Xenopus tropicalis: one gene and its partner. The main gene of each other region encodes a partner of the protein of the gene in region 2 in a complex. Links are inferred from orthologs where the notes say so. Each region holds a gene or a part of one and is shown on either strand. Other genes may lie near its edges.

Evidence for each region.
Region 1: dpm1 (region 2) and dpm3 share a complex: the UniProt entries of both Homo sapiens proteins name them as parts of the dolichol-phosphate mannose (DPM) synthase complex. The link is inferred for Xenopus tropicalis from reciprocal best matches to the Homo sapiens genes DPM1 and DPM3.

Annotation. Positions count from the first base shown.
Region 1 is NC_030684.2:145,949,442-145,953,987, forward strand, and holds dpm3 (dolichyl-phosphate mannosyltransferase polypeptide 3), read right to left. Parts: upstream 2,993-4,546; 5' UTR 2,950-2,992; intron 1,424-2,949; 5' UTR 1,368-1,423; coding exon 1,089-1,367; 3' UTR 747-1,088; downstream 1-746. UniProt on the Homo sapiens protein: Stabilizer subunit of the dolichol-phosphate mannose (DPM) synthase complex; tethers catalytic subunit DPM1 to the endoplasmic reticulum.
Region 2 is NC_030686.2:35,640,479-35,644,295, reverse strand, and holds part of dpm1 (dolichol-phosphate mannosyltransferase subunit 1), read right to left. Parts: intron 3,399-3,817; coding exon 3,330-3,398; intron 2,429-3,329; coding exon 2,314-2,428; intron 1-2,313. UniProt on the Homo sapiens protein: Transfers mannose from GDP-mannose to dolichol monophosphate to form dolichol phosphate mannose (Dol-P-Man) which is the mannosyl donor in pathways leading to N-glycosylation, glycosyl phosphatidylinositol membrane anchoring, and O-mannosylation of proteins; catalytic subunit of the dolichol-phosphate mannose (DPM) synthase complex.

The DNA of each region.
Region 1 (4,546 bases), on a different chromosome or scaffold from region 2:
GGTATCTCTGGGGGAGGTACAGGGGGTTCCCTGGGTATCTCTGGGGGAGGTACAGGGGGTTCCCTGGGTATCTGAGGGAGGTACAGGGGGTTCCCTGGGTATCTGGGGGGTACAGGGGGTTCCCTGGGTATCTGGGGGAGGTACAGGGGTTCCCTGTGTATCTGGGGGGGTACAGGGGGTTCCCTGGGTATCTGGGGGAGGTACAGGGGTTCCCTGGGTATCTGGGGGGGGGGGGGGTACAGGGGTTCCCTGGGTATCTGGGGGAGGTACAGGGGTTCCCTGGGTATCTGGGGAGGTACAGGGGGTTCCCTGGGTATCTGGGGGAGGTACAGGGGGTTCCCTGGGTATCTGGGGGAGGTACAATGGGTTCCCTGGGTATCTGGGGAGGTACAGGGGGTTCCCTGGGTATCTGGGGGAGGTACAGGGGTTCCCTGGGTATCTGGGGGAGGTACAATGGGTTCCCTGGGTATCTGGGGGAGGTACAGGGGGTTCCCTGGGTATCTGGGGGAGGTACAGGGGGTTCCCTGGGTATCTGGGGGAGGTACAATGGGTTCCCTGGGTATCTGGGGGAGGTACAGGGGGTTCCCTGGGTATCTGGGGGAGGTACTTTCTGTGTAGGTGGGAGAGGGGCGGGAATACAGTCACATGGGCAATACATAGCCAATCAGGGGTGGGCTACCTTTTATGGAACACAGGGCAGCTAAGTTGCCCCCGCACTTGCCCATAAGAGACACAGGTATCACATATCAGATAAACAGAAGTTTTATTTATCAGACTAGAGAAACCCTGCCCATTGGGTCCCACGTTGGTCCGTACTGGGGGCGCCAGAGAAACCCTGCCCATTGGGTCCCACGTTGGTCCGTACTGGGGGCGCCAGAGAAACCCTGCCCATTGGGTGCCACGTTGGTCCGTACTGGGGGCGCCAGAGAAACCCTGCCCATTGGGTGCCACGTTGGTCCGTACTGGGGGCGCCAGAGAAACCCTGCCCATTGGGTGCCACGTTGGTCCGTACTGGGGGCGCCAGAGAAACCCTGCCCATTGGGTGCCACGTTGGTCCGTACTGGGGGCGCCGGTGCCCAGAGGAATAATCAGAATTTCAGGCCTTTCAGGGCCAAGTCTCTCTTTGCCTCGCTGATTTGCTGCTGCAGTTCCCGGGCCGCATCCTCGCAGTCGTTGAAGGTTGCCACGCGGTAGCCAATGGTGGCCAGAGAGTAGCAGCCAAACACGACCAGCAGATAAACAGGCAGGGGCCACAGGAGCTGCTGGAGGGGCGGGGGCAGATCCAAGCCCAGCAAGTTAAAGTTCAGGGTAACCCAGGCGGCCCCCAGGACACTCAGTGCCAGTAGCCACTCTGCCAGCTTGGTCATGGTGGGATGTCAGTGCCAGCGCAGGAGCCAACGTGTCCCGGGGTATGTGGCTACCTAAGGGGACATAAGGCAAACGTAACTATGGTAACAGAACTGGAGATCTCCCCTTTATTTATGATGTGATCCGGCATTACAGCATATTGGCCCCTTACCCACAGGGTGAAGTTAGTGCCCCCCAACCAAGCTAATAATGTGGGTACAGCCATGCTGCTCCCCAACACCTTTACACTTAATGCAGCGGGGCCCCTCATCCCCTGCTTATGTAGGACTAGTTAGGCACCCCCAGAGCTCCTTCCCATAATCCCCCAGCACTCCTTCCCATAATCCCCCAGTACCCCTCTCCTTCCATTAATCCCCCAGTACCCCTCTCCTTCCCATAATCCCCCAGTACCCCTCTCCTTCCATTAATCCCCCAGTACCCCTCTCCTTCCCATAATCCCCCAGTACCCCTCTCCTTCCATTAATCCCCCAGTACCCCTCTCCTTCCCATAATCCCCCAGTACCCCTCTCCTTCCCATAATCCCCCAGTACCCCTCTCCTTCCCATAATCCCCCATTACCCCTCTCCTTCCCATAATCCCCCACCACTCCTGCTCCTTCCCATAATCCCCCAGTACCCCTCTCCTTCCCATAATCCCCCAGTACCCCTCTCCTTCCCATAATCCCCCAGCACTCCTTCCCATAATCCCCCAGTACCCCTCTCCTTCCATTAATCCCCCAGTACCCCTCTCCTTCCCATAATCCCCCAGTACCCCTCTCCTTCCCATAATCCCCCATTACCCCTCTCCTTCCCATAATCCCCCAGTACCCCTCTCCTTCCCATAATCCCCCATTACCCCTCTCCTTCCCATAATCCCCCACCACTCCTGCTCCTTCCCATAATCCCCCAGTACCCCTCTCCTTCCCATAATCCCCAGTACCCCTCTCCTTCCCATAATCCCCCAGTACCCCTCTCCTTCCCATAATCCCCCAGTACCCCTCTCCTTCCCATAATCCCCCAGTACCCCTCTCCTTCCCATAATCCCCCAGTACCCCTCTCCTTCCCATAATCCCCCAGTACCCCTCTCCTTCCCATAATCCCCCATTACCCCTCTCCTTCCCATAATCCCCCAGTACCCCTCTCCTTCCCATAATCCCCCAGTACCCCTCTCCTTCCCATAATCCCCCAGTACCCCTCTCCTTCCCATAATCCCCCATTACCCCTCTCCTTCCCATAATCCCCCAGTACCCCTCTCCTTCCCATAATCCCCCATTACCCCTCTCCTTCCCATAATCCCCCACCACTCCTGCTCCTTCCCATAATCCCCCAGTACCCCTCTCCTTCCATTAATCCCCCAGTACCCCTCTCCTTCCCATAATCCCCCATTACCCCTCTCCTTCCCATAATCCCCCATTACCCCTCTCCTTCCCATAATCCCCTAGTACCCCTCTCCTTCCCATAATCCCCCGGTACCGCCAGTCCCTTTATGTTATCCCCCAGTAGCCCCTGCTCCCTCCCATAATCCCTTAGTACCACACTCCCGTTCTATACTCTCCCAGTACTTTCCCCGCTATTCCCATACTATCCCGGTACTTCGGGAACAGTACCTACCTGTTCCCTTTATAAATGTCACTGCTGGCCCCGCCCCTCTACCTCATCACTCAGCGCCGCTCGCAGATACACGGCAGCATTTGGAGAAACGTGCAGGCGAGGATGAATAGGCGTAGCATAACGCGCGGTGCAACATGGGAGATGGAGTTGAAGCTATCTGCCGCCATGTTGCTAGCGGGACAATGCGCTGGGCTAGTTACTGACTCGCGCGGTGCAGCATGGGAGATGCAGTTGAAGCTATCTGCCGCCATGTTGCTAGCGGGACAATGCGCTGGGCTAGTTACTGACTCGCGCGGTGCAGCATGGGAGATGGAGTTGAAGCTATCTGCCGCCATGTTGTTAGCGGGACAACGCGCTGAGCTAGTTAGGGACGCGCGCGGTGCAGCATGGGAGATGGAGTTGAAGCTATCTGCCGCCATGTTGCTAGCGGGACAATGCGCATGCGCTTGGCTAGTTACTGACGCGCGCGGTGCAGTATGGGAGATGGAGCAGAGCCACGCCAGGTAGCGCTGTGCGCATGCGTATGTGAGTGAGAGGGGAAAGGCGCCTGAGAATGCGCGGGAAGCAGAGAGGAAGGCGTTACATTTGACCTGTGAGCCCCGGAACGGAACCCCCACCCACTGTTATCCCCGGTTGGTTATTGTATCTTAGCCTTAAAGCTGGACCCTTCTCTGTTATGTGTCCCTAGTAAAGGTACATCTCGTTACTGGACTGTAAAGTGTGGACTACAACTCCCAGCATCCCCCTCGCAGTAGTGTTGGGAATAGAGTTGCCACCTGGCCGGTATTTTACCTGCCTGCCCAGTAAAAATGATGCACGATGTTATTATAGGGGGGAAAATCTAGGAAGGCCGGTTTGCTTTCATCCTGACTGAGCGTTCAGCAACGGGCAGCGTCTCCTGTATAAACTGGGCCCCTCAGTGGCGCCCTCCCCCGGCCCAATGCTGTATTGTTACAGAGCCGTTAGTAATGGCTACTGTGTGGCACCAGCCTGCCCCTCCCACAACTGACCCGGGCCCCTGTGCCCCCCCCCCCAGGGAAGCCCCTCATGGGCCATTCCAGAGCCTGGATACAGCAGGTGGAACGGCTCATTAGGCAGCCGGGGGGGGGGCTCTGATTGTAAGAATCCCATATCTGTCATTGGGCCCATCCATCAGGCAACGGGACGCGGGGGTGCACCGAGCACTGACAGGGGAGTGAGCCTTGTCCTCTCCCAGGAGCAGGGTGGTCTCACAGCCCCCCCCATACACAGTGAGCCCTTATATATACTGGGGCCCCTGGGTGGTCTCACAGCCCCCCCCCATACACAGTGAGCCCTTATATATACTGGGGCCCCTGGGTGGTCTCACAGCCCCCCCCCATACACAGTGAGCCCTTATATATACTGTGGCCCCTGGGTGGGAATATACAGCCCCCCCCATACACAGTGAGCCCTTATATATACTGGGGCCCCTGGGTGGGAATATACAGCCCCCCATACACAGTGAGCCCTTATATATACTGGGGCCCCTGGGTGGGAATATACAGCCCCCCATACACAGTGAGCCCTTATATATACTGTGGCCCCTGGGTGGGAATATACAGCCCCCA
Region 2 (3,817 bases):
CAGTTCAGTTGCCCATGATAGATCTCTGCTATCGCGGATGATTAGCCGCTCAGAAATGCCTTTCCACCAGCAACAATAGGAGTCACCGGTGGAAAGCACTTTGCATCACTTTGTTTACAGAAGTCGCGCAAAGTTGCCTGCAGGAGGACAGTACTGTCTATTTTAGTACAAATTCTAGTAGTTCTGTGTGTCTTCACCCTAAGGACAAAGGCACAATGGGCGATTAGTTGCTGCAACTTTTTAAAAAGTCCATTGTGGCAACTAATCTCAGTGACTTTTCCGCCATAGGAAAAAATAGAAGTCACTGCGACTAAACGCCCGGAAATTTTCGCTACACAGATTAGTCGAGACTCACTAATTGCCCCGTGTGTCTTTACCCTAATAACTACTAGTAGCAGTTACTTCTCATGGCTACAAAAATAAACAATGCTGATAATTGTCTCTGTGTTTTCTTTGTCTATGGCAGGGTATTTTCTGGCATTTACAAGCCATGTGTCATAGTCCTTAGGCTCTGTATAATTACAAATAATTTAATTGCTGTGGGCGGAGACATGCAAATAAGGGGCTGCAGAGGGGGCTTGCAGATCAGAGTAGCAGAAATGGAGGTTAGGAACATATGTAAGAAATACATAATTGCTTTGCCCAGCAGCTCTAGATCCTTGGCCCTGAGGCTGAACATTTGCCTCAGCCCAATTTTATGTCTCTTATAGCACCAAGCTAATAAGTAGCTCCGTGTGTCTTGGCCCTAAAATAGAAATATTCTTGCTGTTATGTTAATGTTCCACGGGAAACCAAAGCGATGCGCAGGCCTTTCCATTGCCTATTCCCTTTGTTGCTGGTGAAAAGGCATTTTGGAGAGATTAGTTGCCCAAGGTAGCAGAGATCACGGGCAACTAATCTCTTCATGGGACATTAGCCTTAAAAGCAGTGTCTGCCTATCTATTCTCTGCACTCCAGAATGAGCAGAGGGCAGCTGATTAACAGACCTGGAGAAGAATGGACTTCTGGGTCAGAAACAGATAACAGAAAGGGAAGACAGACACTGCATTCAACTGCAATGATATTTAAACAGTGAAATATGTAATGAATGTATATTGGAAAGTTGCGTAGAATATCATTTTTCTTCATTATGAAACAATACAGTTTTAAAATAAACATGGAGAAAAGAACACTATTTTCTCTGCTAACCCTGGAAATGTACAATGCTTTATGCTGTAAAAAAAAATCCAAAAAAGGGATTCATTTCATATGCCTTACCCAAAGCCCAAAACACATATGCTTACTACTCAGCAGCTTGCCTACAACTCCCAGCATGCCCAGTCATCCACAGGCAGAAAGTTAGTATTTGGAATGCTAGACACTGTGCACCTACAATCCTTAAGATGAAGACAATGGGCCTCTTTTTTGTCAGGTTTCCTAGCCAGACAACCTCTCCCTATATTTACTAGCATATCTCTATTGCCCCAGGCAACCATGTCAGTTCCTGTATCCTGCGCTCAGATCATGTGACCTGATTTGAAACAACCCCCGGCATTATGAGAGATGGCAAGGACTTTGAGGGTGGGGGAAGTTAGGGGTGCAAAGGACAGTCCCTTTCATAGAGCAGAGAAACAACAGCTGACTTTTGCATTTGATACGCCAATAGATGAATAATTACATACTATATAATAATTCTAGTACATATAATTACATCAGAATTAAAATATTAGATACACATTTTAAAAGTGAATTTGTTTTATTTTCATTTTGTCCTCTGGGTGGTGATTTTTTAAGAAACATTTTCTATCATGAGCATTCTATTTATGGTACAGTAAATGGCAGTTATACCATTGGTTTCTTCCTCTTTGTATCTGATTCAAGAAAATATAAATAATTATATTTATTGCACCTTTGCTTATCCTTAGCTTTTATGAAAATGGTAATCATTTTCAGTACTCATCATTATAATCTATACAAATTCAAGAAGCGAAACTTATATGACCTGGTGTGTGACCTAAAGGTACAGGGGCCATGGCAGGCCAAAAGGGACTGGTTACTGAAACTAAAAATTACAAGCAGAGGTATAACAGGTATCACACCCAAAGTCTGCTCATAGCCTGTACAGAAAGATTCCATCAAACTGTAGCAGCATAGGGATTCCCCTGTACTAAGCACAATTCAGCAGGAACAGCCCCCTAAGTTTGCTCATAGCCTGTACAGAGAGATACCATAAAACTATGGCAGCATAGGGATTGTCTTCCTAAGCAAGCAATTATTCAAGTTATCTCAGATATTTTCTTAGCTCAAAATTAATTGTTCTATCCTTGGTCTTACCTCTCCAATGGTGTAATTCAGTTGCCGAGCTCGGACAATCATCTCCATCTGGAAAACATAGCCCTTCGAGACGCACCTCTCCACCAGCTTCTGCAGCACATCTTTTCTATACAACCTGTAAATTATTTAAAACATTTTTTTGATTATACACCATGAATAGTCTATATATAAAGATATTAAATATATCCATTAAGAAAGAGCATAATGATTTCACCAGTATATAGTTCAATGGTTCAATGCAGACAGAAATAAACTGTCCATGCTGTAAAGTGTAATTGCCCATTATTTAGGGGTAGAGACAAGGGGAAAGTGTTGGAAGGGCTACTGCCTGCTCTGCTCTCATTTCCCTACAGAAATAGGGATTGGTAGCACTAGATAGGTACCTAATATATAGGGACAGAGACAGGGGAAAGTGTTGGAAGGGTTACTGCCTGCTCTGCTCTCATTTCCCTACAGAAATAGGGGTTGGTAGCACTAGGTAGGTACCTAATATATAGGGGCAGAGACAGGGGAAAGTGTTGGAGGGGTTACTGCCTGCTCTGCTCTCATTTCCCTACAGAAATAGGGATTGGTAGCACTATATAGGTACCTAATATATAGGGACAGAGGCAAGGGGGAAGTATTTCTCCTGTTAGGAAAAAACTGCACAGGCCCGGGCCATATGCGAGCAAGCGTTCCTCTTCCTTCTGGCTTCTTTCTTCAGAATCCTGGGGCCGACACATGCCCAGTTGCGCGAAAAAGACAGCTTTTTTGTTAAAGTTGGCTTTTAACTGTACTGTGCATGAGTGAAGATCGAAGAAGGAACAATGAACACTCGCCCAATACACCCCGGCCAGTGCAGTTCTGCATTGGCCAAGATTAAAAGTAAAGCTGTTAAGATAGCTAAGGGGGAATAAGACTTACCTATTGTTACAGCAGTTCATCACTATATTATTTTGATGTTATTGGTGCTTTCAGAATTGCTTTCGTGTTTAAAAAAACAAAAAACAAAGAAAAAAAAACCAAGAACTACATACCTGAAGCTTCCGGTTAAATCAGAGGCACCTGGTCTCAGCAACACCTGAGTTACAAAGTTAGCCCCCCGGCTGTAAAGGAAGGCACAAGGATTAGAGAAGCCAACCAGGATATATGGAGGTAATTCACAAAAGTGTCAGTAAGTACACAGTTCTCAAGCACAACAAATTCACAGAAGGTATCTTATAGTTTAATGGATGTCATAATGCCACCAAATATTAAAATAAGTGTCATATATATGGTAAAAAATGTGTTATTGCGCTTTGAATAAATTGTTTGTGTGCTGAAAAATTTTCTTTATACAGACAAACCTAATTTAGAATTTTAGTCATTTAGAAATAAAAAGTACACTATAAAAATCATGACAGTATCCCTTTAAGACTAACTAGAAACTGTGACAGGTTAATATCTGTTCACAGGTTATGATACAATGGGGTGTCTCTTTTTGGGAGTTAGTTGTGCCATGATAAGAATACAACCTCGCCAAACT